Notamacropus eugenii: one gene and its partners. The protein of the gene in region 1 interacts with the protein of each later gene in a pairwise test. Links are inferred from orthologs where the notes say so. Each region holds a gene or a part of one and is shown in the gene's direction. Other genes may lie near its edges.

Evidence for each region.
Region 2: the proteins of EHHADH (region 1) and KCTD6 interact in binary tests that used the Homo sapiens proteins (3 or more experiments, as listed by UniProt). The two-hybrid records come from large-scale screens. The link is inferred for Notamacropus eugenii from reciprocal best matches to the Homo sapiens genes EHHADH and KCTD6.
Region 3: the proteins of EHHADH (region 1) and SSNA1 interact in binary tests that used the Homo sapiens proteins (3 or more experiments, as listed by UniProt). The two-hybrid records come from large-scale screens. The link is inferred for Notamacropus eugenii from reciprocal best matches to the Homo sapiens genes EHHADH and SSNA1.
Region 4: the proteins of EHHADH (region 1) and KCTD9 interact in binary tests that used the Homo sapiens proteins (3 or more experiments, as listed by UniProt). The two-hybrid records come from large-scale screens. The link is inferred for Notamacropus eugenii from reciprocal best matches to the Homo sapiens genes EHHADH and KCTD9.

The regions. Positions count from the first base shown.
Region 1 is NC_092873.1:56,193,538-56,201,222, forward strand, and holds the start of EHHADH (peroxisomal bifunctional enzyme), read left to right. Parts: upstream 1-4,568; 5' UTR 4,569-4,641; coding exon 4,642-4,715; intron 4,716-7,685. UniProt on the Homo sapiens protein: Peroxisomal trifunctional enzyme possessing 2-enoyl-CoA hydratase, 3-hydroxyacyl-CoA dehydrogenase, and delta 3, delta 2-enoyl-CoA isomerase activities. Catalyzes two of the four reactions of the long chain fatty acids peroxisomal beta-oxidation pathway.
Region 2 is NC_092874.1:466,814,870-466,823,024, reverse strand, and holds the start of KCTD6 (BTB/POZ domain-containing protein KCTD6), read left to right. Parts: upstream 1-5,127; 5' UTR 5,128-5,242; intron 5,243-8,155. UniProt on the Homo sapiens protein: Probable substrate-specific adapter of a BCR (BTB-CUL3-RBX1) E3 ubiquitin-protein ligase complex mediating the ubiquitination and subsequent proteasomal degradation of target proteins.
Region 3 is NC_092872.1:494,225,914-494,232,755, reverse strand, and holds SSNA1 (microtubule nucleation factor SSNA1), read left to right. Parts: upstream 1-3,976; 5' UTR 3,977-4,073; coding exon 4,074-4,125; intron 4,126-4,270; coding exon 4,271-4,470; intron 4,471-5,565; coding exon 5,566-5,659; coding exon of another isoform or gene 5,660-5,673; exon of another isoform or gene 5,674-5,969; coding exon 5,970-6,028; 3' UTR 6,029-6,231; downstream 6,232-6,842. Other genes in the region: ANAPC2 (anaphase-promoting complex subunit 2), read right to left, coding at 688-820, 2,711-3,339, 3,703-3,819. UniProt on the Homo sapiens protein: Microtubule-binding protein which stabilizes dynamic microtubules by slowing growth and shrinkage at both plus and minus ends and serves as a sensor of microtubule damage, protecting microtubules from the microtubule-severing enzyme SPAST.
Region 4 is NC_092872.1:743,223,998-743,231,805, reverse strand, and holds the start of KCTD9 (BTB/POZ domain-containing protein KCTD9), read left to right. Parts: upstream 1-4,680; 5' UTR 4,681-4,753; coding exon 4,754-4,867; intron 4,868-7,808. UniProt on the Homo sapiens protein: Substrate-specific adapter of a BCR (BTB-CUL3-RBX1) E3 ubiquitin-protein ligase complex, which mediates the ubiquitination of target proteins, leading to their degradation by the proteasome.

The DNA.
Region 1 (7,685 bases):
TTCCTTGCCTTGTAAATGACAGAAATATAGGAATGTTTTTTGCAAAGCCAAGAAGAAACAGAAAAAGAAACCAACATTTAGAAGGTCAGGAAGATGGAAAAAACCAATAGAAAAAAGTGCACTTCCATATTCTTGCCAGGAGAAAGCAGAAGGGTCTGTGTGTGATGTAATGACTCCATATGTTAACAGTCTAGAGAAGAGATCAAATCTGCTCATAGCCTTTGACTTCGGCTCATCTGCAGACTCATGATAGTTGAATTCACAGTCAGTGGTTTTCCAGATCTTATAAAGAGAATCAATTGGTCTGGTGTTTGAGGGGCCAAGTTTCCTTTCATTAATCAATTAATCAATCATCAATTTTTTTTCTGTCTCCACATCTAACTTTAATCACATTTTCAGCATGTTGCCAAGAATGGAATTTTGACACTAAGCCATAAATTTATGGCTTACCTCAATGAACTTCAATCAACAATTAAAATAACTTTTTTCAAATTTTTAATTTCATGAAATCAATAACTTTATCACTTGCCCTCTGGAATTACAGATAGTCACTGCATTGATCAGTTACAAGTCTTTCAAAATTAGTTGTCTTGATTGTGTTGTAAGTAGAAATTATTCTCCAGGTTCTGATCCCTTTACTCTGTATCAGTTCATACAAATCCTCATAGGTTTCTCTGAAGCCATCCTTTTCGCCATTTCTTACAGTGCAATAGAGGGCCATCTCCAGTCATCCTGATCTATATCTCGCCTGCTGGACCCAGTGGCTCCAGAGGAGAAAGTGCGACTGGTGACTTTGCACAGTCATCCCTCACTTAATTCCAATTCACTTGCATGTCATGGCATCACCTCCCTAATTTCATGGTCCTCTTTGAGAACAAAGGACAACACAATAGAGAAAATAGTGAATGAAATAATATTTCATTAGATTCATTTGCCATAATTTTTTCAGCTATTTGCCAATTGATGGACACTCCCTTAGTTTCCAGCTTATTGCCATAATAAGAAGAGTTGCTATAGATATTTTTGTATGTATGGGTCCTCTTCCTCTTTCTTCTCATTGGAGCATAGGCCTAATATTGGCATATTATTAATAACTAATTAAATAACAGTTAATAGTATCACAAAAGGGCACGCATAGTTCAGTGACTTTGAAGCCACACATTCTGAATGGTTGGACCAAATCGTAACTCCACCAACAGTGTACCAGTGTGCTGGAATTCTCTCAGCCCTTCCAACATTGTGATTTTTCCACTTTTGGCATCTTTACCAGTCTGATAGTTGTGAGACTCAACAAGCATTTATTAAGCACCATATGCTGGGGCAATTAGGTGGAGCAGTGGATAGAGTGCTGGGCCTAGAGTCATGAAGACTCATTTTCCTTAGTTCAAATCTGGTCTCAGACACTTACTAGCTGTATGACCCTAAGTAAATCACTTGACCCTGTTTGCCTCAGTTTTCTCATCTGTAAAATGAGCTGGAGAAGGAAATGCCAAACCACTCTAGTATCTTTGCCAAGAAAACACTAAATGGGATCATGAAGACTCAGACATGATGGAAAAATGACTGAACACACATACATATATATTTACATACGTGTGTGTACACACACAGACATACAAGACACACAAACATACACGTATATATATATTTGAAAGATCAGTTGCATTTCAATATTTCTAGCTCACAAAATCCCTATGCATTGTTCCCTCTGAGAACATCAGAATTCAGTTCCTGTTCCTCTGATGATCCACATAAGGCTCTTCTGCTACCAAACCGAGAATATTGGACTGCTTTTATTTAAATCAATCAAAAATGTAGAACAGATTTATGTTTAATGTTTAAAAAGTTCAAGAGACATAATTTCTGGGTAATTGGTCATTTTACTAATAACGCTAGCATTTTAATAAAAGAGGTCAATGTCACTCTTGAATGTCAAAGATCCTCATGGGGAGCAGGCTCCTGACTTATGTGCCCTTGGAAAAGTGGGTGTTCTAGAGTGTGGCAGTCAACTCTGGTTAGCAATTAATGAGAGAATGAATATTAAAATGAGAAGTGGGCTCACTCCAATGAGAGGCTGAGAGTGACATCATGTCACTTTTGGACAAAGAGAGATCCAGACTATCCCTAGCTTTGGGCACTCTAATGAAAGAATTTATCCCCATCCAAACCTGAGTAGAATACAATGGGCTTCCCCACTTTAGATTAAATTCCTTGTAAGGTTGGGCTGGTCTGATCAAAATTGAGGAGAGTTAATTCGATCTATTTTCAACAATGAGTTCAATCAAAAGACTGAACTTTGAAATGAGTACTATACAAAAGGGGAACTCTGAATCTTCCCAGTCATTGGTTGTTAATAATTTCTCTCAGTACTGAAGTCCTTCAACTATCATGAAAACTCATGTACCATTTTTGGACATCAAACTATCTATCTGGTCTCTTTGATTTTCCCTCCGAACCTAAAGAGCAGTAACTATGCCTTGGGCAAATTTAGGTGAAAGGTGATGATGTTGCGGTTTGGGTTGCTGGGAACCCTGAAGTGCAGGGTGCATGGGGTCTGCCTTGAAAGAATTCTACCACTCAAGCCTTCTTTCAGTCAAAAGTATGGAGGTTTATTTGGAATTCCGAGATTCTAAGAATCTGCTGTTTGATGGTGATAAAACAGATATTAATATATAACACACTGACACTTATAAGACAGTGAGAAGATCTAGATGGGATTAATGAGTGGTAAATAGCCTAGGATGGCTTAGAGGCAACAGAGACGGAGTCTAGATGGGATTACGGAGCAGTAAATAGTTTGAGGTTGGCCAGGTGCAGAGAATGAAAGGATTTAAATGATCAGAAAGCCACAGTGAAAGGGGCAGTTAAAAGGATTATTAAGTATCTAGATGAACTGGGCTGGGCCTGATGCCTCAAGCAAAATGCCAGGGACTGGGAAAAGTGTGGGAAAATTCAAGGACTGCTTTCAAAGAAATAGTCATTTCCTTTTAGCGGTCCAGGTCCCATCACTCCATCAGTGAGAAGTACCAGAGGAAAATCTGGGACAAAGGTCTAGTCACCCTATTCGAGTTACACTTCCACGCCCACAGGGTTCGTGCCACAGAGTTATTCCTTCATGGATGGGGTTCCCTCCTCCCTCAATCCTTCCTCCCCTTGATGACTAAGCAGAAACTGCGACCTCTGGGTCTCTTTTGGGGGAGGGGGATAGCAGAGAGGCTGGACAACTCCATCTTCTCTCCCACCTCTCTCTCTGGTCAAGGTTCTGTCTCTCCTTCCACAAGTACCTAGGATGCCAGTCCTGAGCCCTCACTGGTGTCTTGGAGAGGCGACATGGATATGTGAGCCTCTCTCTGGCTGAACACCCCTCTGTATCTCTGTGTCTGTGCCTCTCATCTATTTGTCTGCATAACCTGTGCCTAGGCCAGGCCCTCTTAGTTCTTCGGAATTATCCTCCACCTCTGTTTAAAGCCCTGGGGTGAGGATGCTTCATGGAAAAAGAGAGCTAAGGGATCCCACCTCATCCACTTTCCCCTCCGGGATGTCACATGCTTACAGTGGACAAGAAGGCATGTGACAAAATAAAGGAAATGAAATCTGGATAACTAAACACTGCCACTTAGATTGGCTGCCTCAGTTTCCCTTTCATGATCCTTGAAAACAGGACCTCTGCTTTGGACTCCTGCTTTTGTAAGACTGAGACTGAGACTGGAAAAATCTCCGTACTTCAGTTGTGTAACAAAGGAGTTTGAATTTTGCCATAGACAATAGGGAGTCACAGAACCTTCTAGATCAGAGATGGGGAACCTTTGACCTCTAGGCCTAGAGTCTTCGGTGCCACCTTTTGACTGAGTCCAAGTTTTACAGAACAAATCCTTTTATTAACTGTGAAGTTTGGATTGAGTCAAAGGGCTGCACTTGAAGACCTAGATGGCCACGTGTGGCCTCGAGGCTACAGGTTCCCCACCTCTGTTTTAGAGCAAGGGAGTAACATAATATCCTTTTCACAAATCCTATTGTTATCTTTCTGTGTTCATATCACCTTCACTTCTGAATGTATCACTCCATCCCCATCCCAGCAAACCATCCATTGTTGCAAAGAATGAAAAAGAAAGAGGAGAAAAAAGTGAGCCAAAGTAACCTATCCCCCTGACTCTTGACTGTGTGAGGGCAGGACTGTCTCTGGTTCCTGTTTCTGTGGCAGGCAGTGTAAAGAAGGCGGGGTGGGAGGGAAGGAGGGCAGGAAAGAGGAGAGCTTGGAAGGGGAGAGGTCCTGAGATGGAGGGAGACTCCACCCGGGAGAGGGAAGGTTGGAAGGCCTTGTTTGGGACCTGGGAGCCCAGCTGAGGAGAAAAGAGGGCGAAGTCCTGGGCAGGAGGGCGGCGGAGGAAGAGGGGATAGTAGGGATCTTGGCGGGGGGAGGGGGGGACACAGGGAGGCAAAGGACAGTGCCTGAAGGGAGGGCTAGGTTTCCCAGGGGTGGATCTAGGGGTGGTGCAGGCTCTGGAGGCTGGGGAGGGAGAGGATCCCCAGTGAGAGGGTGGGGGCGGGCCACGGAACCCCATTGGCCAAGGGCGGGTCCTCCCCTCTCTGGGTTTCATTAAAGTCTGAGCTCGAGTGCCCGGCCAGTGACTGAGAGGAGCCATGGCCCACTACACGCTTTTGGACAACTCTCTGGCTGTGATCCGCTTCCGGAACCCTCCTTTGAACACCTTTAGGTAGGTGAGAGGGAGGGGGCGCGACGCTGCAGCTACGGCCGCGACTGTCCGCCCGCCTGCCTGCTCGCCCGCAGAGCCCTGAGCCCCTAACCCCGAACTGGCAAATCGGGAACTGGCAGAGCTGGGAGGGAGCTCAGGGCTCAGCCCCTCCGCGTTCTAGATTCCTGCAGGACGTTCTTAAAGGATCTTAGACAGCACTTCCCGCCCCTCTTAGAGCTGGGAGGGATTTGGAAAGCCTAACCCAGGACTGTCGCGGGAGATCCTCCGGGTTCCTGCCAGCCTTTCCTGATGTGTGATCTGTGCTTGGAAATCAGCTAGACATTAAGCAAACACACCACAAGCGTTTATCAAGTGCCTACTAACTATGGGTCCGGGCTCTGGGCGTACTAAGATGAAAACCTGTTTGTCCCTTGACCAAGGAGCTTCTAGGATCATCGATTTAGAACTCAGACGGATTTTAGAAGACATGAGTTCAAATTTATTTTTCAGGAGAGGAAGCTGAGGCTCCCAATGGTTAGGTATTAAGAGAAGAGGAAGGACTTGAACCCCAAATCTCTACTCACTATTTCACTAGCATGATATGAACTGGAGGGGACTTGTGGAACCTCCTCTAAGCTGGAGTCTGTAAACTTCAAAAAGTATATATTTTGATGCATAGTTTATCTTGTGCATTAAAACACTTTATTCTGGGAGGTGATCTATAGGCCTTTCTAGGCTCCCAAAGGGGACCATGACATAAAATTTTATAAGATATGATTCTTTGCTATAGTGACTTGGTATTTTTATTTTTTCAATGACCTTCTACTTCTGCCACGCCCCATCACCAGAGACGTCGTCTAAATCCAGCCTGGAAGGGGAGTGGTCAGATTAGGGTTACAGAGCATCCTTAGACTTTGTCCAGTCCAGACTCCAGTTGCATTTCCACAATGTGATTTCAGATGTTATGTCTGAAGCCATTTGTTTTTTTTGTTTTAGGAATTATGTACTTTCAGCTGGAAGGAAGAGATTCTGGACACCAAATTGAAGTAGAAGGGATTTAGATGTCATCAGCCACAAATATTCAATCAATGAGCACTGATTTACTTTTTCAAGGTGACAGGCCAGTGATAAGCTCTAGGGTTACAAAGAAAAGGCACAAACAGTCCCTGCCTTCAGGGAACTCCCAGTCTAATGGAGGAGACAACATGAAAAAGAACTAGATACTTTATAAGGAAGGTTTGTATAGAGTTGTTCATTAGTTAAAGTCATGTCCAACTCTTCTTGACCCCATTTGGGATTTTCTTGACAAAAATACTGGAGTAGTTTGCCACTGAGGTAAACAAGGTTAAGTGACTTGCTTAAGGTCACACAACTAGCAAGTGTCTAAGACCAGATTTGAACTCAGGAAGTGAATCTTCCTGACTGCAAACCCAGCACTCTTATCTACTATACCACCCAGCTGCCCACATATAGAATAGATGGAAAGTAATCTGAGAAGGAAGGCACTGGGTGATAAGGGTGCCAGGAAAAGCCTCCTGCAGAAGGTGAGACTTGAAGGAAGCTAGGAGGCAGAGAGATGAGAAGGGAGGGCATGCTTAGCATGGGGTGTGTGTGCTCATCCTTTGTTGCTGAAGAAGACCATGCCATCAGAGAAATAATGACATGACTTGCCCTTGACTTTGTTTTGAGTGAGGGAGGGCTGTGCAGATCACCAGCCTCACTTCTCCAGAGCCATCTGAATCTAGTGACCAGATATTCATCAAGATGACTGGAAATGACCTAGGATGAGGCAATTGGGGTTTAGTGACTTGCCCAAGATCACGCAGCTACTGAGTATCAAGTGTCTGAGGTGACATTTGAATTCAGATCCTCCTGACTCCTGCACTGGTGCTCTATGCACTACACCACCTAGGGTGCCCCTTAGCATGGGGTACAACCAGTGCAAAGGCCTGAGATAGAAGTCCAACTCCAACAAAAAGGGCCTGAGACATTCTTTTTCCAGTCAGAGCTATAGGTTAGAGGTCATCTTGCGTCTCAGCATCCAGTGCCTTAGCAACCTGCACCAAAGCATTCCTCTTTCTCCTAGGAGTCTCATCTATAAAACCACTGCTCTCCACCCCTCCTGTAGCTCCAAGAGATCTCCAGGGCCTCAGAATTCCCTTCCTGCTCTAGCTTCACCATCCCAAGATCTTTCTCCTACAATTCCCTCAATTTTACAGGCAAGGGGATCCAGTCCTTCAACTGCAAACCTGTATTCCTCCTACTACGTTCAGTTTCCTTTCCCAGTCGTTATCATATATTATATATTTAGAGCTGGGACGTATTTTAGAAGTAATCTAATCTAATGCCCTCACTTTGCAGATAGGGAAACTGAGGCCCAAAGAGGCAGAATGACTTTGAAACACCATTTTCTTCAGGCTTTTTTCAAGAGAAGCCCCAGCCTGGAAGCCAGCCTTATCTTACTTGGCCTATGAAAGTAATCTCCTGCTTGGTCGTTAGGGAAAATACTAAAGGAAGGATTCTCTTCCAGCCTCCTTTACTGCTGAAGTTGAAGTGGACACTGGTCAGGGAAATGAAAATTATTCTTTTCCTAAAGCAGCTTAACCCAAAGACTTTGGGGCTTTATTGAACTAGAGTTCTAATCCCTGGAACCAACTGAAAGCTGATTAGATGTGGCCTTCTTTGATGAGTTAGCTTACTGTGCAGTTTTGTCTACTTTTATTTGATAAGCAGGGAACTTCTTTGTGAATGCCGTTTGACCCTGGCTTTTGCAAGACCTTGAAAGGAAGAAAAAGTGCTTTGAGTTGAGCAGAAAGGGAGCCTGCCTATTTAATCATCCAGACCATTTTTCTTGGAGATGTTTGAAAGATTGATAAAGTAATGTAGGTACAGTCCTTTAATCTGGCTGAAAAAAAAGAGGGGAAGGTGATGGATGGGACTTTGAAGAAGCAGCCGGGTCAGAATTGCAGTTGTTCCCATGCAAGGTCTATG
Region 2 (8,155 bases), on another chromosome or scaffold:
CACTCCCAAGAACTTGAAGTATTTTCAATAACTGGTTTCTCATTTCTCCCCACAACAATTCTGCTAAAAGACTGAAAAGATCTATCTACTGTGAGAATAAAAGGTTCCTTCTTGTCTTGTAGTCCATGAAATGTGGATGGGCAAGATACAGCCAGGTCGAACCCTTCATTAAGAGTCCAGGGAACACAGCAGATAGAACCATGAACACAGAAATGAAAGTTAAGAAGACCGGATTCAAATCCTGCCACAGACATTGACTAGCTTTGTGACAATGGCCAAGTCACTTAACCTCTTTGTGAATCCCATTTGTAAAATAAGGACAACAATAACATCTGCCTCACAGGGATGTAGAGAGGACTAAATGAGATGACACAGGCCAAGTGCTTTGCAAGCCTTGTATAAAGTGTGTGTGTGTGTCCTCTGGGCTCACCCATTCAGTTACATTACTCCTTCAGGGCTCTAGGGGTAACTGTAAAGATTTTACAGGTATCTCTTCCCTAACGTTATTAACTTGAGCCCCCACTGGTGTCTCAATTCCATTTTCTCACTTGATAGCAATGAACTTTTACAAAGGGATATTGAGTTCAAAAGTCACAAAAGAAACAAAGTAGAAACACTTCCTCCCAATACCTCAGGGGACAATTTTATATATACTTACGTAGCTATATACATATATGCACACACACATATATACATATTCCCTTTGGTCTCTGGGAAGAGGGGGCTTAATCTTAGCACAGTTTCTACATAACATTCCATGTCCAAGTACGGCATGACTGCCAGAAAATTCTGCATTTTAGCTGTTTTGGGGCTCAGTCCTGAAGGTCACTCCCCAAGTTGACTCCTCTGAGTATGGATGCTGAGCTGGCTACAAGACTCAGATTGTGGGAAGCTCAGATGCTCCAGTCTAGATCATGTGATGCCGACAAGGTTCCAGGCTCTAATCCCTTCACCTGAGAAGGAACGGACCAAATGCATAAGCCAAGGACTGAAGCCTGTTCTCAGAACCATGTGACTTTGACTAAAAGACCCAAGGTCTCTCCTCTGCTTATAGCAGAACCTGTCTCTCATCATGATCCAAGGAGTTCAACTAAAGGGGATGAGGTGAAGAGCTTGGACCAAAGCTGACTCAGGCCTTTTTGAAGATTTCCTTAGTCCTAGCTATGAGGCCAATTGGAAAGATTCTTCCTAATCATGTGGTTAGCAGACCAGAACCAGTCACAGAGTGACTAAGCATGTTCAAGTCTCTACATGGCCCTTGCACTACACATCCTTCTGACTCCTCCAGAAGTAGAATCTCTGGCCTCCTGAAAGGGTTAGGGGTCACCGCACCACACTCTAACAACCTTGGATCTATGTCATTGCTTCCAGGAATAAGGAAATCACTGTTCTCTGCCCTGGTCAGACACCATTGGGAATATTGTGTTCATTTCTGGACACCACAGTTTAGGAAGGATTCTAATGAAACTGACACCAAAGGGTGTCCAAATTAGGACTGTGATGGGTCTCGAGTCCTTATCACATGAGAATACATTGGAAAAACTGGGAATGTTTAGTCTGGAGAGGAGCAGAAATAGCGCTCACATGATTATTGACCTCGGGTGCTTGAAGGGATGTCCTGTGGACCTCAGAGTGTCAGGGTCAGGAAGGACCCAAGGGGCCACATAGTCTCGTTGTGCTTGAAAGAGAATGACCTCAACATAGCTTCCAAGTAATCTGCCAGCCTTTGCTTGTAGATCTGCAGGGAGGGAGGGCTCAGTCTCTCCCTGAATAACCTGTTCTTCTCTGTCTTGAATTAGTAGGAAGCTTCTTTCTTCTGCCCGGGAGACCAAGTTGTTTTCTCTGATTTTTTTCACTGTGCTTTCTAGGCCAAAAGAAACGATTACAGTCTCTGGAGAAATGTAGGCAAAGTTCACCCACAGGGTGATAAAAAGGTCCATGGTGGCAGTGAGCATGGCTGGATAGTATAATCAGGAAGGAGAGTCTTCTGTAAAGGACGTCATCGGTGAAATTGGTGACATTTACAATGGCTGGGTTGGTTACCCATGAGGGAGAGCTCATAGGCAGCCAGCATGCTCCATTGACATCCATGCAGTGAATGTCACCAATGTGCTCTTATGCATATGTACCCATGAATGCATGTATACGTGTAGGCATGTATATGCACAAATGGCTATTTGCAATGCATATAATTATGCATGTATATATACTTGCATGAATACACACAAGTCTATATTTGTGTGCATGCACATACTTGTGTACATATGTATACAAGTGTATATTTGTGTGCATGCATGCACACCTATGGATATTTGTGTGCATGAATACATACTGTGATATATAAAAAATTCTAAAGACATAGTTTCTGGGTAATTGCTCATTTTATTAATTATTGCTAGTAGATAATTAATAAAAGGGGTGAGTGGCACTCTTGAATGCCAAAGACCTCTGGTGGCTTCTGGACACTTATATGCCTTTGGAAGAATGGGTGTTCCTGGCAGGCAGCAATCAACTCTGATTGGTTAACAATAATGAACATGATAATGAGAGGTGGACCTATTCTAATGAGGGGCTGGGGGACATGACTGATCACACAGACCTGCCGGAGGAACACAATAATCTGGATTTCACCCAGATTCCACTTTCTTTGTAAGGTTTTCTAGTTGGGTGGGGCAACATTTCCACCTAAAGAAGATGGTCTAGAGGTATAATTTTTGGGGCAAGGTCAGAGGTCTCTTTGAAAGTCTGGACTTTGAAATAGGAAAAAGGAAAAGATTCTGGATTTCCCCAGTAACTGCTTATTTACTCAACACCTATACATCTGTGTGCATGTGTTTTTGTATGTATGTATACACATACACATAGTTTGTGCACATTTATTTACAGGTTTCTTCCCCCATTAAGACTGTGAGCTCTTGGAGGACTATCTTTTGCCCTTTCTTTGTATGCCCAATACTTAGCACAGTGCCTGGCACATAGTAGGTGACTTACACATGCTTGTCGACTTACCTCAACCTGCCATGGTAGTGGGAGCCATTCTCCATCAGTAACATCACGAGTCCCTTCCTTATCTCTTAGCAGGACCCGCTAAGCCTTTGCTCAGGGCTGAGGGTACAAATAGCAGGGGGCCTGCTCTTCCAATAGGGAGGGAGGAAGCCACAGGAGGAGGGGAAACCAGGGTGGACTTTGGGAAGGCACAGGGATGAGGATGGGAGTCTAGGGGGAAGAGACTGATGGGTCCTTTTCAGGAGTGAGGACAAATGGGTAGATTTTCAGAGCTGGGAGGTGGGTGGAGGCAGGGCAGCAAGGGTTGGTGGGGTGGACTGGAAACCTTTCTGGGGTCCGCCTGGACATAGCCTGGTGCATGAATATACTGGCTTCTATCCAATGAATCATTTCTCCTTATTTCTTCACTCCATGAAGTAAACTTTGATGGTGGGAATTTCAGAGCTGAGAGGGTTAAGTCTGGGGGCATGAGATTGTTGAACTGAAATGAGTGTTACAGAATATTTTAAGCATTTCTGACCAAGAGAGGAGGCCCGGGCACAGCTTCTCCCCCATATTCTGGGTATTTATTAGAGAAGATCTAGCCGTCTGCCAGTGAGGAGGTGGGAGCATTTGGTACTGCGGGCATCTTCTGAGAAAAAAGAGCTTCTGGGCCGGCCTTGCCCAGAATCATAACCAATTACATTAGTTCAGCGCGACCAGCTTACCGAAGCACTTGACAGACGTTATCTCATAAGGTCCTCACCACTACCCTGGGAGGTAGGTGCTCTTATTAGCCCCATTTTACAGATAAGGAAACTGAGTCAAGCAAAGTTTCGTGAGCTGCCAGCCCAGGGTCACAAAGCCAGCTGTTGTCCGAGGCAGGATTTGATCTCAGGTCTTGCAGACCTGGTTCAGCCTTCTACATACTCTACCTATTAATGCAGCTGAAATGCCATTATAAGTGCTGCTGTTGGGAGCCCGGGAACCCCCCCCCCCCCCGCCCCCGCGGGAGGCAGGGGCTTCCTGGGGCCTCCTCTTGGCAGTCTGCTCAGCTGTCACATCTGGGCTCGGGCTAAACCTCTAAGGTGTAACCCCAGGTCAACCCGTCAAGCAGGGGCTGAGGCTCCCCTGGGGCTGAGGCTCTATGCCGGGCTGGAGGGCACCCTCTGGCAGGGGTCGGTGGGTGGGGATAGAGAGGTTCCCCCGACGGTATAGAGCCCTAGATTACAGGCTGCCCAGTCCCGAGCGCTCTTTGGAGCGCGGCAGTGACTCCGCCAAGGTCCTACGGAGGGCGGGCAGGCTGGGACTCGGGGTCGGTGGTCTTCTCCCACTCGGCTGAGCCCTGCACTAGCGGGTGCCGCCCGAGGCTCCATCGCAGCCCGTTGGCGAGAGCTGCGATCCTGACCACTGGGCAGCGCGGCCCCCGCCCGCCTGGGGCTTGGGGAGAAGGGCCAGGAACGCGGGGTGCGGGGAGCCTGCGGCGTGAGTGGGGGTGCGTGCGCTGGGCAGTGCGGGGGCAGGAGGCGGAGGGGGGCTGCTGCAGCACGGGGATGAGCCTACCCGGATACCCCCGTTCACACGCGCACCCCCTGCACACACACCCGCACGCGCACCCCCTGCACACACACCCGCACCCCCTGCACACACACCCGCACGCGCACCCCCTGCACACACACCCGCACCCCCTGCACACACACCCGCACCCCCTGCACACACACACGCGTGCACAGTACACACATGTACACACACATGTACACACACACACACACATGTACACACACACACAGGGAGCTCCCACGGCCAGTTCCAGGCCCCGCCCCCACCGCTGTCTCCCAGCCGGGCTGGCTCCCGGCTCCTGGGTCTGGTGCTGGAGGAGGGGAGCGGCGGCGGCGGGGAGGGCTGCGGCGCCGCCAGGATCCGCCAGGGGGCAGCCGAGCGCAGGCGGCCGCCGCTCCTCCCCGCCCTCCCGCTCGCTCTCGCCCGCGCGCTCCCGTCAGGCCCGGCTGAGCCTCGCCGCCCCCGCGGGAGCGCGCCCGCCCTGCCCGTGCCGCGCCCGCGCGCCCCCGCGAACCCCGCGCCCGCGCTCGCTCGGCGGCAGCTCGCTCGGCTGGAGGCGGCGGCGGCGGCGGCGGCGGCGGGAGCAGCGGGAGCGGCGGGAGCGGCGGGAGCGGGAGCGGCGGCGCTGTGTCCCCGGCCCGGCCCGGCCCGGCCCGCCTCCCTCCCGCCCCGGCCCGGCCTGGCCTCGACTGCGGCGGTGAGTGCGGCAGGGGGCTGGGGACCCCCCTCCTACGACCTGGGCAAGCAGGGGGGCCTCGGAGGACCCCTGCCCTCCCCCCAGGAAAGTTGGAGGGGGTCTGGGCTCAGGGGAGGGGCCCCTCAGCGGGGGGCCACGAGGATGCGCCCCCTCCCCTGGAGGCGTGCAGGGACGTGCCGGGGAGACCCCGGCAGGAGCGGGGGGCAGGAGACCCCGGGGGGGCACGTCGAGGGGCGGGGGGGGAAGGAGATTCCCCGGCAGGCGAGCTCCCCAGAGGAGGGGGCTTGTGGAGGAGCGGGGGCAGGAGACCCCCGGGGGGGAGCGCCCCGGAGCAGGCGGGGGTCGGCCGGCGGGGGGGGCGGGATGCGGGGCGGGATGCGGGGCGGGATGCGGGGCGGGTCCCCCCCATCCCGGCCTGGGCGGGCCGGGCCGTGGGACCCGGCGGCCGGTGCCGCAGCCGGTCCGGTCCGAGGCCCCGAGGCTCCCCGGGCCGTGGCCGGTCCGGATCTCTCCCTCAGGACGCTGTGCATCCTGACCAGACGTGCAGACGTCCGGCCGGCCGGCCGCCGGCCTTTTATCCAGCACTTGCGCGTCTTCTTTAACATTCTGGGTACCAGAGGATGGAAAATGAGGCAGGGAGCTGGGCACGGACACGAGGAGCGGGGCCCCGAGGGAGGCCGGCAGCCCGGGTCCGAGCCCCGCTGGCCCCCGGGCCATGGCAGGACAGTCGTTGTGGCTGGCATCGGTGCCAGCTGCCCTTTATGTAGGATGTCCATGATCTTGGGGGTGTAGAACTTTGTATGGTGAGAGTGGGGCCCCCCCAGGGTGGCCCCAGGGCAGCACCGGTGCCCACAAAAGGCAGGGGCCCAGGGGAGGGCCTTCAGGGGGGTGCTAGATCCTGGTGGAGGATCTGTGGTGCCCCTGGACCCAGAGTCTCGCAGGATGAAGAGACCCACCCTCCTGGGTGCTGATCTCTGTTGGCACCTCGGTGAGAGCCTTGAGAGAAGTTCTGAGTGGTTTAAAAGACTGCATTCTCCTTAAGATTGGGGTGACAAGCTAGGCAGCCCTGAGCTGGATTAAGGGTGGGGATGAGAACTCTGTCCAGCATTTTGTGTAGTCACTAATGCAGCAAGTAGGCTTGGACCGCCTATTGCCAGCGAGGCTTCATGGTGTCATGAAACATTAATTAAGTGCCTCATGGCTGCCCTTATTGATCTTCCCTTTTTCAGAGATACTAATTTTCTATCACAAATGCCCAAAATAGAAAAAAAACCCAGTGAGCAGTAGGTTATCAAGAAGTAAAGGCTGGGTGTTTTAAATGAATGAATGAATGAATGAGTGTATAGCTAAAGGAAAGCAGCCTTTTATTTGGGGAGAAGGCCTTGTTCCTTTTAGCATAGCTGAGAAAATTGTTCTTGGGCTAGCTAATAATCCATACAGGTATTTGTATTATGCAGTAAGACCAAGGCATCCACGATTGGGCACCAACCAGTACTAGGTACTGCTTCTGCGAAGTTTTGTGTAAATATAATCACATTGTAATTGTACAAGAACTTGCAATTTAAAGGAATCTGGGGAGGACAGTCATCATCTTCTTTTATCTGGATTTTTCACACTTAGGGTTTGCTTGGCTTCGGACTTCTTTTGTGGAACCACTTTTGCCATAGCAGTCTTCCTGAACAGTATATACTTTGGGCTAGTGGGGCCCCCCCAATTCTGATGAGGCTACCATCTGGAGGTCCCTCTGGGGGACCTTGCAGCCCCTTAGAAGAGCCCGGATGGGGAAAACAGAGGCAGCGCTGCAGTCCCTTACTCCTGGTCTGTTAGCTAGAGAGCTCTGTGGTCCCTCTCTTAACTCAGGCCTTCAGCGTATTACAGAAATTTCATGTAGTGAAGTTATGTACTACATGGAAAGATGATAAAGATGATATGGTACTTAAAAACAGAAACAAACTTCTTACTCACTCCCCTCCCCCCAACCATTTAATCATCATTTTCATATACAGAACTGAAAAGGAAGGAAATCATCCTGTTTCCAAAATGTATTCCCCTAATATCCATGTGCAGCGGGGAGGAAAGGTTGTATTCCTATTTTATCATCAGAGAAATAGAGGTGCCTCAGTGCTGGGAATTAATTTCCTCTCACCCATCAAGTTAGTGATGCTGGAACTAGCCTGTTCTGCTAGACTGCACTGTGGTGATGAATGGCTAAAGAAAAAAGATTTTAAGAATAGTGCCATCTTCACAGTACTGTCTAACAGCTCCCCTGTGGCTTGGAACCAGGAGAGACTGCAAGGACTCCAGACCCATGTCCCATAGCTCTAGGGTGTGACTCAGGGTCACCTCAACTCTTGGAGCCTCAGTAAAAATGCAGGTGATGCTACCAGTGTACCTGCCTGCCTTTCGAGGCTATGGCCAAGATCCCAAGGTCATGTTTGTAAGCTTTGAAGCATGCTTTCTGTGGGGCAGCATAGTAGTGAGTGGATGGTCAGCAGGTCTCACAGCCAGAAGGACTTTGGCTCGAGAGCTGTCACTGCCACGTGGATGTCCCTTCACCTAGCCTTGTGCCACGATAGCTCTCTGACACTAAGGTACAGAGAAGGGACTGAACTTCATGAGGGGAGGGAGTGTCCACACCTGGGAGTTCCTTATACCAATGAAATCACAAGCCAGTTCCTATTGTTATAAATATAAAAACATTCCCCCCCACCCCAAGATGCAGTGGCTGCCTGTGCTAGCTTGTATGTTAACCTGAAGGACTCTTTAGATTTCTCTGAACTAGTTGCTATAAAAAGTATTCTACTTTTAAACTCCCACATGGTTCTATAACTGAGAAACTGAGTACAGAGGTAATTTTGAAGGTATGTGCAGATGTTGGAAATTTATTCTTGTCTTGTGTTTCTAAATGCCAGA
Region 3 (6,842 bases), on another chromosome or scaffold:
TCTCTTTGGCCATTAAGGCCATTTATATCCTGGTACCTTCCTACCTCTCCAGTCTTACTACTATTTACTCTCTTCCTCATATTCTATGGTACATTAATATTGGCCTCCTAGCTGTTCCTCAAACATAACACTCTGTATACCAACCCCATTCATTTTATTGGCTGTCCCTCATGCCTGCAAAGTTCTCCCTCTTCCTCTGCCTTGTGGCCTTCTTGAGGATTCAGTTCACATCCAATCTTCTTCTGACTCCTAACATCTTCCCTTTGAAATTACTTCCCATTTACACTACTTATGTACACTGCATATGCATAATTGTTTGCATGTGAGCTCCTTGATGGTAGAAATTATGTTTTTGCATTCTTTGTATCCTCAGCACTTAACAGGGTGCCTAGTTCAACATTTATAAATGTTTAAGTTACTGAACGATTAACAACACTACACTCACAAGAGCCTATATGAAACCTAGACCACAGCTAATAATGCAAGCCTGGGCAAGAACCATAAAGGTACAACAACAAAAACCCACATAAACCTGTTCAACTACAGTGTAAATAAAAAAGGTTATCTGTGTATTGTACCACTCTAAATTTAGATTCTGGTTCATTTTTTAACTAACTCTCTTCTACTTGTTAAAATTGTACTCCCTTAAGCAAGAATCAAGAATGCAAAGTCACAAAGAGAGCTTACCTCCTGAAATTCATTCAGGAAAGACCTTTCATATTCTCCCCGACATCGACGTTCCATCCTTTCCTCAATCATTCGGTGGAGGATAGTTGTAACAGCATCAGCACTGACTCTCTCCAGCAAATTTAGCCTGTGCCTGAAGGGAAGCCAGTGTTCAAAAATCTTATCCCAAGCCATGTGAAGAATTAGCTGAAGCAAGGGATGAGAGGGAAGGCGATTCAGAAGGTACAAAGTATGAAACCACAAATAAGGAGTTATGGTCCTCAAACAGGACCTGAACCTAAATCCAGAAAGATTAAGTCGCTAGCCCCTCTATGCTGTAAGAGTTTTCTCCCCATCCCAAAATATTTAAGCCACCTTCATCCTCCAATAAAAAATTCATACCATTAGATACACCACTTAAGTGTATATCACATTATTTATAGAAAGCTCACTGTTAAAATAAATGTTGAATCTGGAAAAGTTGAATCTGGGAAACAAAGTTCCCATAGTTCCTCAGTACCCCCAAAGAATGGAACTCTGAGAGCATTAATTGAAAAAGAGCTCAAATTTTGTTGAATGGAAGATCCTAGGGGCAAAGTCCAAGAAGACCACTACAGTGGGAGTTCCTAGGCAAATAGTAGGTCAGGAGTTGCTAAAAGTAGAGATAGAGGCACAGAAGAGGTGATCTACTTCTGCTGAGGGACTTGCCCTCAAGGGCAATAAAGGATTGGAAAATCTGCCAAGATTACAAAATTTCTTAGCTCTAACTGGTGAAGTAGCACAGGTCTGACCAGCAGGTGTCCACACAGATCAGCCAACAGACAAGTAAACATGGCTCCAATGGATGCAAAGGTACTTCTGGATAAGACAACTATCCCACTTGCTCTTTTTTGCCACTGAAAAAATTTGTAAAAATTCTGCCTGGGTAAATGGACACTACTGTGGTAACTTAAAAATGATTAACTTTTGTGATTTTTAATGTAGATCTAAACTGTAATGACAAATGCATCCTTAAAAACAATTAACCACATACTTTGTGTGTGTGTGTATCCTGCCCTTCCTACCTTGTGTGGTTCAAAAGGGGGTCCCTCAGAGAACCATACTTAAAGACTCATTTTGGGCATAACTAGTATCACTATAGTAAAAATCTGTAAACCAAAAAACTTCAAAGTTTACTCTGGGGCACATTTATTTAAAGAATTTTTGAATATACAAAATTCCAGTACAAAAGAACTGGGATAACCATTTGGATTACATCAAAATAAAATCTAATCCATGAAAATCAATGGGAACCCCAAACGTCAAACCAGAAATCTTAGTCATTTTAGCAAAACATCTCTTAACATATTGCTGAAAAGCAAAATTCTTTCCCTCAAACTCTTTGATGGTCCTTAAGTACTTCTAGAGAATGCTAGTAATTTTGGACATAAAAAAAAAGCCATGAGCTAATCTGCTCCAGAATACAAAACAGGGAACCTCAAGGGTCATCTAGTCCAACCCCTAACCATAATATGTATTATATCTACAGTGCTGTTAATAAGCAGTCATGAATCATTCACCTGGAAGCTATGCAATGATGGGGAACACAAGACAAATCTCTTTTCTGACTTACTCTCCACTGAGTATAACTAAAGTCTAGGAATGGGTGAAGAGATGAAAACATGATAATCAATGCCTAAAGGTGTGAATTCATTATTCCAACAAATAAACACTATTTTCTGCTAATGATATAGCACCTCACACACTCTGACATTCCCTGCAATTAGGAGTGAGGGAAATAGGTTATTTAGATGTCCTAAGATCCTCTTCCACTACCCAGAATTAAAAGGTTTCCTCTACTACAGCTTTGTTAAACCCTGCCTGATCCCAGGGAAAGTGACTAGGCTAGGGGACACTTTTTTATAGGTTAATAAGATATGGAGCTAGATGGAACCTGAGAGATAATTAAATCTGATTCCTTTATTTTACAGAGGAGATCCCCGAAACCAAAAGAAGCAGAGAGATATGCCCAACGCCACAAAAGTTACAAGTAGCAGTCACTTACAGTATCTCACTAAGCTGCTGGAATTGTTCCAGAGCCACTGAGCACCAGCACAGCTCCTTAGCACTGTTGCAGCCGGCACACTCCTGGCCCTCTGGAGACCCACTGTCTTCCAAGTCACCTTGGTCCAACTCTGGCTCACTCATGCCACTTTCGCTCATTCCTTCATCCACTTTCTTTTTCTTCTGCTGATGCATGTAGATTTTAAAGGTACGCGCATAGAACTGCTGGATCATCTCCTGAAAGGTTTTCGTGGTGGAGAAGAACAAGATGGCTCTAAACATAGTATAGACTTTTTCCCGCAGACCCTGAGAGCCAGTCCCCAGCAACAAGCCCATCTGCGTCCACTTCTCCAGTAAATCCAAGCTGTTGAGGTAGGGGTCCAGTCGACACTTGAGCAAGCCAAAGGCTTCCAGGAGGAGCAGGACGCACTGGGGCTCTTCCGCGGTGTTCTCATATTGAGCAATGGCATTCCAAAACTCGGGGGCGATGTTGGACTGCAGGTCAGTCTGAAGCACCTCGGTGAACCACTCCTCCAGGATCGAGTGCAGCTCATAGCACTTCAGCACCTCCACAGCAGCCTGAAGCTCCTCTTCTTTCAAACTCACTGCTCCGGGTGGCCTGGAAGCTGCCTAAAGAGCACAGAACTCGTAAGAAGTGGACCAAGAGGGGTCAGAAACAGAGCATCTCTAAAACAAGGAGGAAAGCAGCTCTAAAGGTCAGCCAGAGGAGGGAGAAGAGTCAGGACAGGAGGAGAGCGGACGAAAAATAAGAGCTGGAGCCTGAGAGACCAGTTGGGGTCTGAGAGGAGGCGTGGGGCTGAGTGGGGATGAGGGGCAGGAGGAGCGGAGAGGGAGATGGGCATGAGGACAGGGGGCTGAGCGGGGCGGGGGCGGGGCTGAAGGAAGAGAAGGGGCCGAGGGCAAGGATGCGGCCGAGAGGAGGCGGAGATGCGCCGGGAGGGACGAGCCCGCCCGCCGGAGTGTGGCCCTCACCAGCCCCAGGGCGGCGGGCGGCACCAGCCCGGTGCTCACGGTACTCCAGGCCACTGACAGCTCCGCCCCCGGGGCCCCGCAGGCTGCACCCTCTACCATGGCCGCCACCGTCGCCATTTGCGCTGACAGGCCCAGACCCCGCTCCGGCTCCCGCAGCCGCAGCGGCTCGGATGTCAGCCCTGGCGCGCGTCGTGGTGACGTCAGACGTCACGCAATGACTCCCCTGAGCCGACGCGGCGCGACCTGATGAGCTCACGGGCCCATTGGCGCGCAAAGGAGGGCGGGAGAGCGGTATCCGAGCAGGCGCAGTGATGCGGTAGAGGCGGTTGGAGCTGGAGTAGGAGGCTGCCGGTGGCGGGAGCGCGGGGAGGATGAGCCAGCAGGGAGCGGCGCTTCAGAACTACAACAACGAGCTGGTCAAGTGTGAGGGCCGCAGGCGGCGGCGGAACCCCGACCCCGAGCCATCCCGGCCCCCCGAGCCACCCCCCGCCCCTCCCCCCCTGTGCGGCCCCGAACCCCGCCCCCGCTCCCCGCCCGGGCCCCCACCAGCCTCTCTCGCCTCCCCCAGGCATCGAGGAGCTGTGCCAGAAGCGGGAGGAGCTGTGCCGGCAGATCCAGCAGGAGGAGGATGAGAAGCAGCGGCTCCAGGGCGAAGTGCGGCAGCTGACGGAGAAGCTGGCACGGGTCAACGAGAACCTGGCCCGGAAGATCGCCTCCCGGAACGAGTTTGACCGCACCATTGCCGAGACCGAGGCCGCTTACCTCAAGGTGGGCCTCCCCCCGGGGGCAGGTGGGCCGGCGCGCCGGAGCCGGACCCTGCCCCCCCCCCCCAGCCCCCATTCCCGCCGCTCAGGAGGGTACTTAACCCGTGGAGACCCCAAGCTCACTGGGCACCCCTCCCCGAGATGAGGCGGTGCTCCAAATCCATGTGTTGGTGCTAAACACCTCGGGGTCGGCAGAGGGGAGGTGTAGCCTTGCGAACGCAGGGTGGTTTGTTCCAGAGAGCAGACAGAAGGCTGGATTTGCAGCCCTGAAGTCATGGAGTCCAAGCCTACCTCAGACATTTAACTGGTTGTGGGACCCTGGGCAACTCGCTTAACCTCCCCCAGGTTCAGGGGCCTTATCGTTAAAATGAGAGCACTGGACCCCAACGTCAACAAGTCCATCGAGAGTGCCCACCAGAGATCTGAATTTTCAATTTTTTAAGGGTAGAGCTGCCAGACATTCCCCACCCCAAATGAAGTCCGCACCTTTATCCTTCTTGTGCTGCCCCACCCCCCCCCAAGCCAACACTGTGTACTAGGTGCTATGCTAGACACGAGCAGGAGTGGGAAACCTTCATCTCTCTAGGTCCTCAAGTATGGCCCTCTGACTCCAAACTTTACAGAACAAATCCCCTTAGAGTTTGGGATTCAGTTCAGAGGGCCGCACTTGAGGACCTAGAGCACCATATGTGGCCTTGAGGCTGCAAGCTGAACTAGAGGTACCAGGAGACACCAGGTGTGATGGAAAGAGAATTGCATTTGAAGGTGGAGGGTGTAGTTCAATGTTCTACTTCTACTACTTGCTACATTGAACAAGTCCCTTAATTTCCCTGGGCCTCAGTTTCCTTAAATGTAAAATGAGGGAGTTGGACTAGATGATCTCTTAGGTCCCTCACAACTCAAACTATGGTCTTACAAATATAAAAATGGCACAGTCCAGATCCTTGACTTATTTGAAGATGAAGGAGCATATATACAATATGTAGAGAGTACAATAAAAGGTAAGTAGTGATGGAGAGAGAGGGCCCCTTAGTACCCAAAAAGCTGCATCTTTCCAAGATGTGCAAGCTTAAACTGTTTCATTTTTTTCTGGTCACAGATTCTGGAAAGTTCTCAGACGCTACTCAACGTCTTGAAGCGAGAAGCAGGGAATCTAAGCAAGGCCGCAGCCCAGGACCAGAAGAATACTATGGGCAAGGACAGCTGAACTGGGACCATGGGCTAAAGCCTGGGGCTTGCCTTACACTCCCTTTTGTAGGTCTGCAGGTGTCTTCCTTGAGAGGGAATCTGTTAATAAAGTATCTTTGTTTTTCATAGCTGCAGCATTTCCCTTCTCTTGCTATTTCAGGCATGTGAGAACAACTTAGCTCCCCAGTACCTCATGGGTATTCACTGTTCTCTGGGTGTTTCATCTAACATGTCCTAAAGAAAAGGGGTAATTACAACAGCCCAGCCACTTGGGGTAGGGGTTAGTAATGCTCTGCACGTTTCATTGCCTTCCAGGCAGAAGGAATCATGGGGAAGAGGAAAACAGAGAGAGGACGAGAGGCAATTTTGCCTGAGAGTTGTCACTGCTGTCCTGGATCAGCCTTCAGGATATTTATTCCCAGGCCCCATGCTTCCTTCAAAGCAGGTGGCCAGACAAAGCCAGTAATTGTGGGGATGAGTGGCCAAAAACCCTAACTAGGGACATGAACCTTAATGTATACATGTAGTCAATATATTGCAGTTTTATGTGTGAATAAAGTTTTCCTTATGATTTTCATCTCTGAGCCTGCTGTCTGTGTTGTGGGGGGAGAATTTTTTTTTTAAACCAAGAACCAGAAGCCTTTGTTCATTGTTAATAGTCTTTGCCCAGATGGCTTCTTACCCCACCCCCACTCCACCATGGAAGTTGGTGAGTAAAGAGTATGTATGAAGAGCTAGAGATACAGGCACAAGATGAGGCTAACAGGACCTGGTTTGGCCACTTGACCAAGGGACCAGGACCTTTCCCTACATGGAAATGAGCAGAGGCCCCAGAGGAATAAAGGACTACACTCTCAGTTTTTTCTAATGTTCATTAAATGCCTAGTAAGGGCAAGGAAGGCCTTGTATGATTATATAGCAAGTCTGTATCCTATCTTGGTCTTTGATTATTCAATCTCTTTTCATATTGTTCTCCTTGTATGTCCACTATTCCATTCAAATTGACCTGTTAGCTTGTTCTTTCTACCTCTGTATTTGCACAAGTGGTTCCCCCACATCTTCATACCTCTTTCTCTTAGAGTCCTTGTCTTCCTGTACAACACAGCTCATGTGTTGCCTCTTAAAAGAGACTTTTTCTGATATCTTGGCATGTTAGCACATTCCCATTGAAATTATATTATTTCATAC
Region 4 (7,808 bases), on another chromosome or scaffold:
AGGGCGGGGTGAGGGGGAAAGGCCAGGAACGGGCGGAGTAGTGGGGTGTGGAGAGTGGGAGGGGACGGCTCTCGGGGGTGTGTGTGTGTGTGTTGGGGTCTGGGGCGGAAGGACCCCCCCCCAGGGAGGCGGGTCAGGCTGAGGGCTGCCTCTGAGTCCCGGGTGGGTGGCGGGGGGGAGGGGGAAGGCGGGGGGGTGGCGGCTCCCTCGGGACCCGGCGCGGGCAGCGCGATGAGGCGGGTCACCCTGTTCCTGAACGGCAGCCCCAAGAACGGCAAGGTGAGGGGGAGGGGCCGCGGGGGAGGGGCGGCGGGAGGAGGGGTGGGGGAGGGGTCGCGGGGGGAGGGGTGGGGGAGGGGCCCCTGGGGGCAGGAGGGGGAAGCCGGCCCGGCGCTCCAGGTGTGCGGCAGGTGTGGGGCGGGGCGTCAGGACCCCCGCCCCGGGGTCCCCCGTCTAGGCTTCCCTCTGCCTTTCTCCGCTCCTGGGGATTTCCTGGCGGCGGGGAGCATCCCTCGTGGCTGCTGCCTCCTCTGAGGCGGCTAACCCCCTTATCACCGCGCAGCCCCTTCATTTTACAGGTCGGGAAACTGAGGCTAACATAGGATCGTGGGAGTAGCGCAGGAAGGGGCCGTAGAGATCGCCTAGTCTAATAATCCCTTCATTTACAGATGAGGAAACTGAGGCGGGGGAGGGGAAGGGACTTGGCAAGGTCAAGGTAATATAAATAGGATCCTACTGATAAGGTTGGGGTGTTGTGCCCGAAAGTACTCACACCCCCAGGTCCTGCTAGAATGAGTTCGACTCCAGACTTCTTAAAACCAAAGTTTATTAAAGATTCGCCACCTTGGGTTGCCTCTTAAGGAGCCTAAGCATTTGTAACGCTTGCACTCACCAGGGGGCCGGATAGAATCTCAGCTAGACGAAGTCTGAGCTGGATGGAATCTGAGTGCCTTCATGGAGGCGAGATGGAATTTATATACAGAAAGTCCGTGGGAAAGATCTAGAGGGGGTCTAGGGGTCTCCTAGGAGGGTCTAAGGAGGATCTTGATGGGATTGGGGTAACTAATGTTGTGATCCAGGGTGGGAAACAGCTGGAAGCCAATTCTGGATGGGATGTAGGTGGGGCTATCGAGAGGTAACCGACAATGGAAGGCCAGGCTAGGCCTAGGGCAACAGATTTGAGTATGAAAGGCCAGATTAAGTGGGAAGATTCAGGGGGAGTTCAAGGAAGTTCCCAGAGTCTGAACCTCATCTTTAGGATTGTAGATGTAAGACTGGAAGGGGTCTGACTCCATGTAGCCCACCCCTCTCATTTTATAGATGAGGAAACTGAGACTCATGGAGATGAAAACTAGCTTACCCAACAAATATAAACTTCTGGCAATTAAAAACCCTTCCCAACATAGCTAGTTTTCCAGGCATATTACATAGAAGTCCTTTTCACCTGTTCCATGGTTCCTGCTCTGTCCCTCTTAGGATCTTAGATGTAGAGCTCAAAGGGACTCATCTAGTGAAAGGGTAAAGTTTAATCATCCTCCCCTCCCCCCCCTTTCCCAATTTGGTAGGTAAGGACACAGATCCAGGCAGGTTAAGTACTATCTCCCCTTCTCATTACTCCACTTCTCATCTGTGCCTTTGCCTTGACCACCCTCCACATCCAAAATGCCCTCCCTCCTCACCTCTTAGAAACTCTCTTCCTTTAAGACTTTGCTCCAGGGCCGCCAGTTCTGTCTTGACTTTTCCTTACTCCTCCAGCCTCCTCCTCCAAAATCACCTTGTCTGTTTTGTATGTTACTGTGTTTTGGATATTTGCATACACATATATGTCTATACACATAGTATCTTCCCTCTCCTGTAATTTAGAGAGTTGTCTGGGGCCTTGGGAGATTAAAGACTTCTGGGATGGTTGATACTTTGGGCCTGACTGGTGATACAAAGACAAAAAATGGAAACCTCTCTGCACTTACAGAGCTTCTTTTCCTCTGTGGAAACAATGAATCCACTTTTAAGCATTTACAAAGTAAGGGAAAAGTCTTGGGGGAGGGGGAGGTGGGCGTGTCTCGGGGAAGAGAGGCCTATATATGTTTGCATTCCCTGGAGAGGCTTCTATTTCTTGGTGTCATATTTGAGATAAAGAGGGCCAGAGAGAGATAAGTACTGTAGTTTGGCCAGGATCCTTGGACTCTCGTCCTCTCGATTCCCAGGCAGGTAGTCCTCTCTTTCTACGGAGCAACCACCTGGCTCCTCTTGATTCCCAAGTTCAGTGCCTGAGTGGCCTGAGTTTATTTGGATGGAGTATGACAGGATCTCAGGTCCAGACCCAGACACTGCTTAGTTGCAAATCACTGGAAAGATTTCTGGTTTTGGAGTCAAATGGGTTAAATCCTGCCTCTGCCACTACTTTGTTTTTCTTTAGTCATTAGTCTCTTCTTGACCCCACTTGGAGTTTTCCTGGCAAAGATACTGGAGTGCTTTGCTACTTCCTTCTCCAGCTCATTTTACAGATGAGGAAACTGAGGCAAACAGGGCCAAGTGACTTGCCCTGTGGTAAATGTGTGAGACTGAATTTGAACTCAGGTCCTCCTGACTCCAGGCCCAGTGTTTTATCCACTGCACAACTGAGCTGGTTTTGGCATATCACTGTCATCTGAAAATGTATGGGTTTGGACCTCAATGACCTTCTAAGGCTCCTAGATTCGTGAGCCTCACCTCAATCATTTCACCATTCATGTTCCTGCTCTGTAAAACACTGATATTATGTGCACTGAGAAGGGATAGTAGAGGCTAGGGCCCTCAGCTTGAGAAAGATTTCCACTTCAGTTTCTTCAGATAATGTCTGTTTTCTGGGCTAGTCACTAAAGCGCCCTGTGCCCCCTGAGAACTGTCTACGGTAGCTAATCTGCCTTGGGGGATGGAATTTTCTCCTATTGTATTCCCTACAGCCACAAAATCTCTGGCCTGAACCTGGGAAATCCACCTACCTTTGAAGCAACTCTCAAAATTTTGCAAGCCCTATGCAAATGTGAACTGGGTTGAGTGTCATCCTGTGCCTGAGGGTTACAACAGGGAGTATAACTTTCTGGCTGGAAGGTAGGGGGAGGGGGAGCACGTCTAGATGAATGTACTGCGATCCAGATGCTGCATGCTCACAAACACCTTGGGCGCATTGTGCTGTTATATCTCCATTTTACAGGTGGGAAAACTGAAGTAGAGAGAGGTGAAGTAACTTCCCAGCATCACACAGCTAGTAAACTACCAAGACCAGATTTGGATTTAGTTCTTGCTGACTCCAGGTCCAGAGTTCCATGCACTGTGTGGCCAGCTGCCTTCCCAGGATATTGGGTGTTGTCTAATTCACATTTTGCTTTTACACGCTGGGAGAACTGAGAGGTGAAGTGACTTGCTTAGGGTCACACCTGTAGTTCCAGTTGCAGAGCTAGGATGCTGAGCCCCAATCCAGTATTCTTTCCAGATTATTATTGGCAAAGGCAGTGGAGGCCCAGGGCATTCTCAGAAAGAGAATCTGGCTGTGAGCTTCCAAATAGAGGAAAGCCTCAGGACCATAGGATGTGGATGCAGTGGGAAGAGTCCTTATTGATCTTCTAGGGTTAGGGTTTCCATATTTATCTGTCACTAAACTGCCAAGCTGGCCAGAGTTTGGCTTGGTTTGTCAGTAGCTGAGGGGGTATCATTACTGATGAGATAGAGGTCTCTTTGGGTCTGGCTTGGGGCCCACAGCATGAAGCAACAGGGAGGGCAGAGAGCCACAAGCTGTTTGGGACGCAAGGTCTGAATCACTGTTGTTGGTAGACTCTTCTTAAGATTTTTCTTTAGCTCCCTCCCCTAACAAACCAAAGTTAATGTGATTCTTTTATAGTTTTTTTTGTCGTTAGATTTTTTAAAAACTTGGAGTGTGTGTAAGTTCAATTCAACCTAAAATCAGATCGCAGCCCCTGGCATTTCTTAAATTCCTTATAGATTCTGCTATTCTACTGAGGCCCAGGGGGATACCAAGAGAGGCTAAAGACCATCCTGCCCTCTAGGGGCTCACTTTCTAATGCTGGAGACGATATGTAAATATCTAGGTTTATCCTAGAGTCAATGCAGAGTAGATAAACATAATGCCAAAGACTGGCACAGGACGGCTCAGCATGGTGGGCCCACATCAGAAAGGGTGCTGTGCTCTATGAGCAAAACAGAGTTTAGACAGCACAAAGGAAATGTAAGATGCCCAAATTTGTGGTATTCACCCCAAATGACATGGACTGTCTGTGCCTAATATGTAGTAATTCTGAGCTCGTATTGGTTTGATCAACTGCAGTAGGACACACTGAAATTTGACTTAATCATAGTGATGTCATTTTTGTCCTCTTTGAGAACGAAGGACAACAACCAACCAAGCATCTGGGTTTATCCTGGAGTCGATGCAGAGTAGATAAAGGTAACACCAAAGACTGGAAAAGGCCTCCTGCTTCAAGTGGGTTTTGAGCCAGTCCTGAAGGAAGCATTCCAAGCTGGGGCACAGCCCGTGCAAAGGCTCTGAGTTGGGAGATGGAGCATATGAAGAATTGCAGCAAGGCTCCTGTAGCTGGATTGTCAAGTGCTTAGAGAGGATTGAGGAGCCAGGAACCGCCAGAGTTCATGGCCGGAGATGAGGCCTGACCTGTGATTGGTGGAAGGCTAGACTGGAGTGGGCAGAGATGAGGCACAGAGATTGGTTAGAGTGCTGTTGCTGTGGGCCTGGCTGCAGGTGATGAGGACCTTCACCTGGGGGAAGGAGACACAGCAGGGATGTTGTAAAGAGGAGGTTTTTACTGACAAGACTGGGCACATTATTGAAACCAAACGTTTGAGTCAGACACAGTATGTAAGTATCACCGTGAAGCTTAAATCCTGTTGGAGGGAAGAGGGCTGGGGGTGTGGGGGAAGAAATCTTTGGCTTGTTTGGTTGTCATCTTCTCCCCAATTAACTGTTTGTGCCCCTTGTCAAGGTGTGACATCTAACATTTATTTTTCCCCCAAACCTCTACTATCCATCGCTAGAAACTGTTGGTCTTTGGGAGGAATATTTGTTTAATAATACATTTGTTAGGTCCCTGAATGGCAGAAAGGAGAAACTGGATTATTAGACGTTGTCCATGTATGGCCAGGAAACATTTCTAAAACCAGGGGTGTTTTACACCTGGTTAACAGATTGATTTAGAACCATCCTTTGTAGGGGAAATGCATTCAGCATTTGAACCACAACTTGTTTCATTGACTATAAAGCTGTTTTGCTTCCTCCTTGAGCTGATATTACTATCTAGTGTAATTCAAAGACCAGGATTATGGGTTTTAATGAAAGTTCTTTGATTTTCATAAATATTAAACCTACACATAGTTAAAAAGTTAAGTTCTCTCTTTGAACCTGACTTTTCTTTTTGTCCACATAAGTCAATCTTTTTCAGTGTTCAAATTTACCTTCATGTTGCTGTTTCCAAATACAAGTATAAAACCAAACTAACAATGAGGTGGGTTTTTTTTTTCAAGGTCATTGTTCATCATTTCCTAGAGTATGGGAATGAAATGTCTCGTTGAAGACAATTCTGTGCCACTTTCATTTGGCCTAAAGTTTTCATCCTCTTTGACCTTCTTTTTGCAGATGCCTTTTCCTATTATTCAAAATATAGAACTATTGTATTGTCACTGGAAAAAAATGACTTAGTACATCCAGAACCACAAAACATTTTTGTCCCTAGAAACAGGCCTCAGATCAACCTTTTACTTATCTAACATCTCTGGTATGTTACTGCTGGTGAAATGCCAACTGGCTAGGCAAAATCCAAGGCCTGATCGTGGAGACTTTAACTATATTCTTCATTTCCGTGGAATCACAGAGGTTTTGTTTGTTTGTTTTTAAGTTTTTAAATGCCAAAATTGAGGCATTGTCTGCATATATTTGTTCAAGGGTGTTGATTTTCTTTTAAAAGGTCATGAAGCTTTGGAGATTTTGGATTAAGAATAAAAACTTATTTAATTTTTTTCACTTTTTCAGAGAATTTTAGGAAAGTAATTAGCATTTCTCAAGTTTTGTAGTAGAATATTTCCAGATGTGGCTAAATTTATTCCAGAGGGATTACGCTAGTAAAAGGTGGAGACAATTGATATTGCAACAGAGCCTCAGAAATAAATCACACTACAAACCTTAAGTAACCTTTTTGTGTAAAATACCTTAAGATTTCTTCTATCAGAAAAACTATTTTTGAAAAATTTTCTTTTCATTTAAAAAATAGTTAGCAATATGGAAATGTTTTATATGACTGCACATGTATAATCTATATTAAACTGCTTGCCTTCTCAAGGAAGGGGAAGGGCAAGAATTTGGAACTCAAAATTTTAAAAAATCAATGTAAAAATATTTTGCTACATGTAACTAAAAATATATATAAATTAAATGAAAAAAAAAGAGAAATGATTGGCAAATGAAAGTTACAGGTTCTTTTTTTTTTTTAATGAGACCAAAAACTACCTAGCTTTGTTTTGTAGATCCGGGTGACATTTGTGTGAGCATGTTTTTGGTCCAGCGAAGAACTCTATCTCCCTCCCCCCCCCCCAGCCTTTCGCTCATCCTAACTCAAAGGTGAAACCATCTTTTTAGTCACCCTGACTCAAATCTGAGGTGTCATCCTTGACTCTTTACTTTCATTTCCTATATCCAGTCTATTGCCAAGTGCTGTCAGTATTATATACTTCCCCCTTGTCTCCTCTACTACTTGCCCCCACCCTGGTACAGCCCTCATCACACCTCACATCTCATCTATCTGGTTGGTCTCACTTTTTCAAATCTCCCCACATGAATCCCTGCTCCACTCACCTGTGATCTTCCTAAAACTCAGGTCTGACCATGTCACTGCCCTACATGATAAACTTCTGTGACTCCTCTCACCTTCACGATCAAATATAAAACCAGTCCTTTATAACCTGATCCTCTCCAACCTTTCTAGTCATTTTACACCTTACACCTTGACGTGGGCCCTTTAATCCAATGACTGTCTCTTCGTGGCGCTTCCATGAACAATCCATCTCTTGGCTCTGGGCATTCTCATGGAAGGGGAGGGCTGGACTGCCCTCCTTCCTCATCTCCTCCTCCTAACTCCTTTCCAGCTAAAATCCCACCCTCAGAAAGTCTCCCCTTGATGCCAGTGCCTTCCCTTTGTTGCTTACCTTCAGTTTGTCCTAGATTTATCTTGTTTGTGCAGTTATTGGCATGTTCCGAGCTTCTCTAGGGCAAGGAATGACTTCTGCCTTTCTTTGTATCCCCAGCTCTTAGCACAATGCAAGCTTGGCACATAGTGGGCATTTTATAAGTGTTTATTGACTGACCTATGATTTTATTTGTGTGTGGAACTCCCCTTTTGGAAACTCCACCCACTGGTGCAGATTGACCACTTTGGGGTGACTCACAGCTTTAAAAACGTTACATGGGGCATTGAAAAATTTGCCCATGGCTATCTAGCCTGTGTGCATCAGAAGTAGATTTGAATCCAACTCTCTGCCTCCAAGACTGCCACTCTGTGGTGCCTCTAGATATTTAAATATTGCTTTACAATCACTTTACATACTGTGACTTGTGATCCTCTGTGGATTCCTGTGAAGTAATAGTGTGCATTTTATCCCTATTTGACTTAGGAGGAGACTGAAAATTCAGAGGTTAACCAGGCCGTGTGCCATTTATCATTCTGTCACACAGCCCTGAATGTCATGTGGGGCTCCGGCCTGACTCATCTCCATCTCCTTTGATCCAAGGGCTGTCTATCACTGGTCCATGC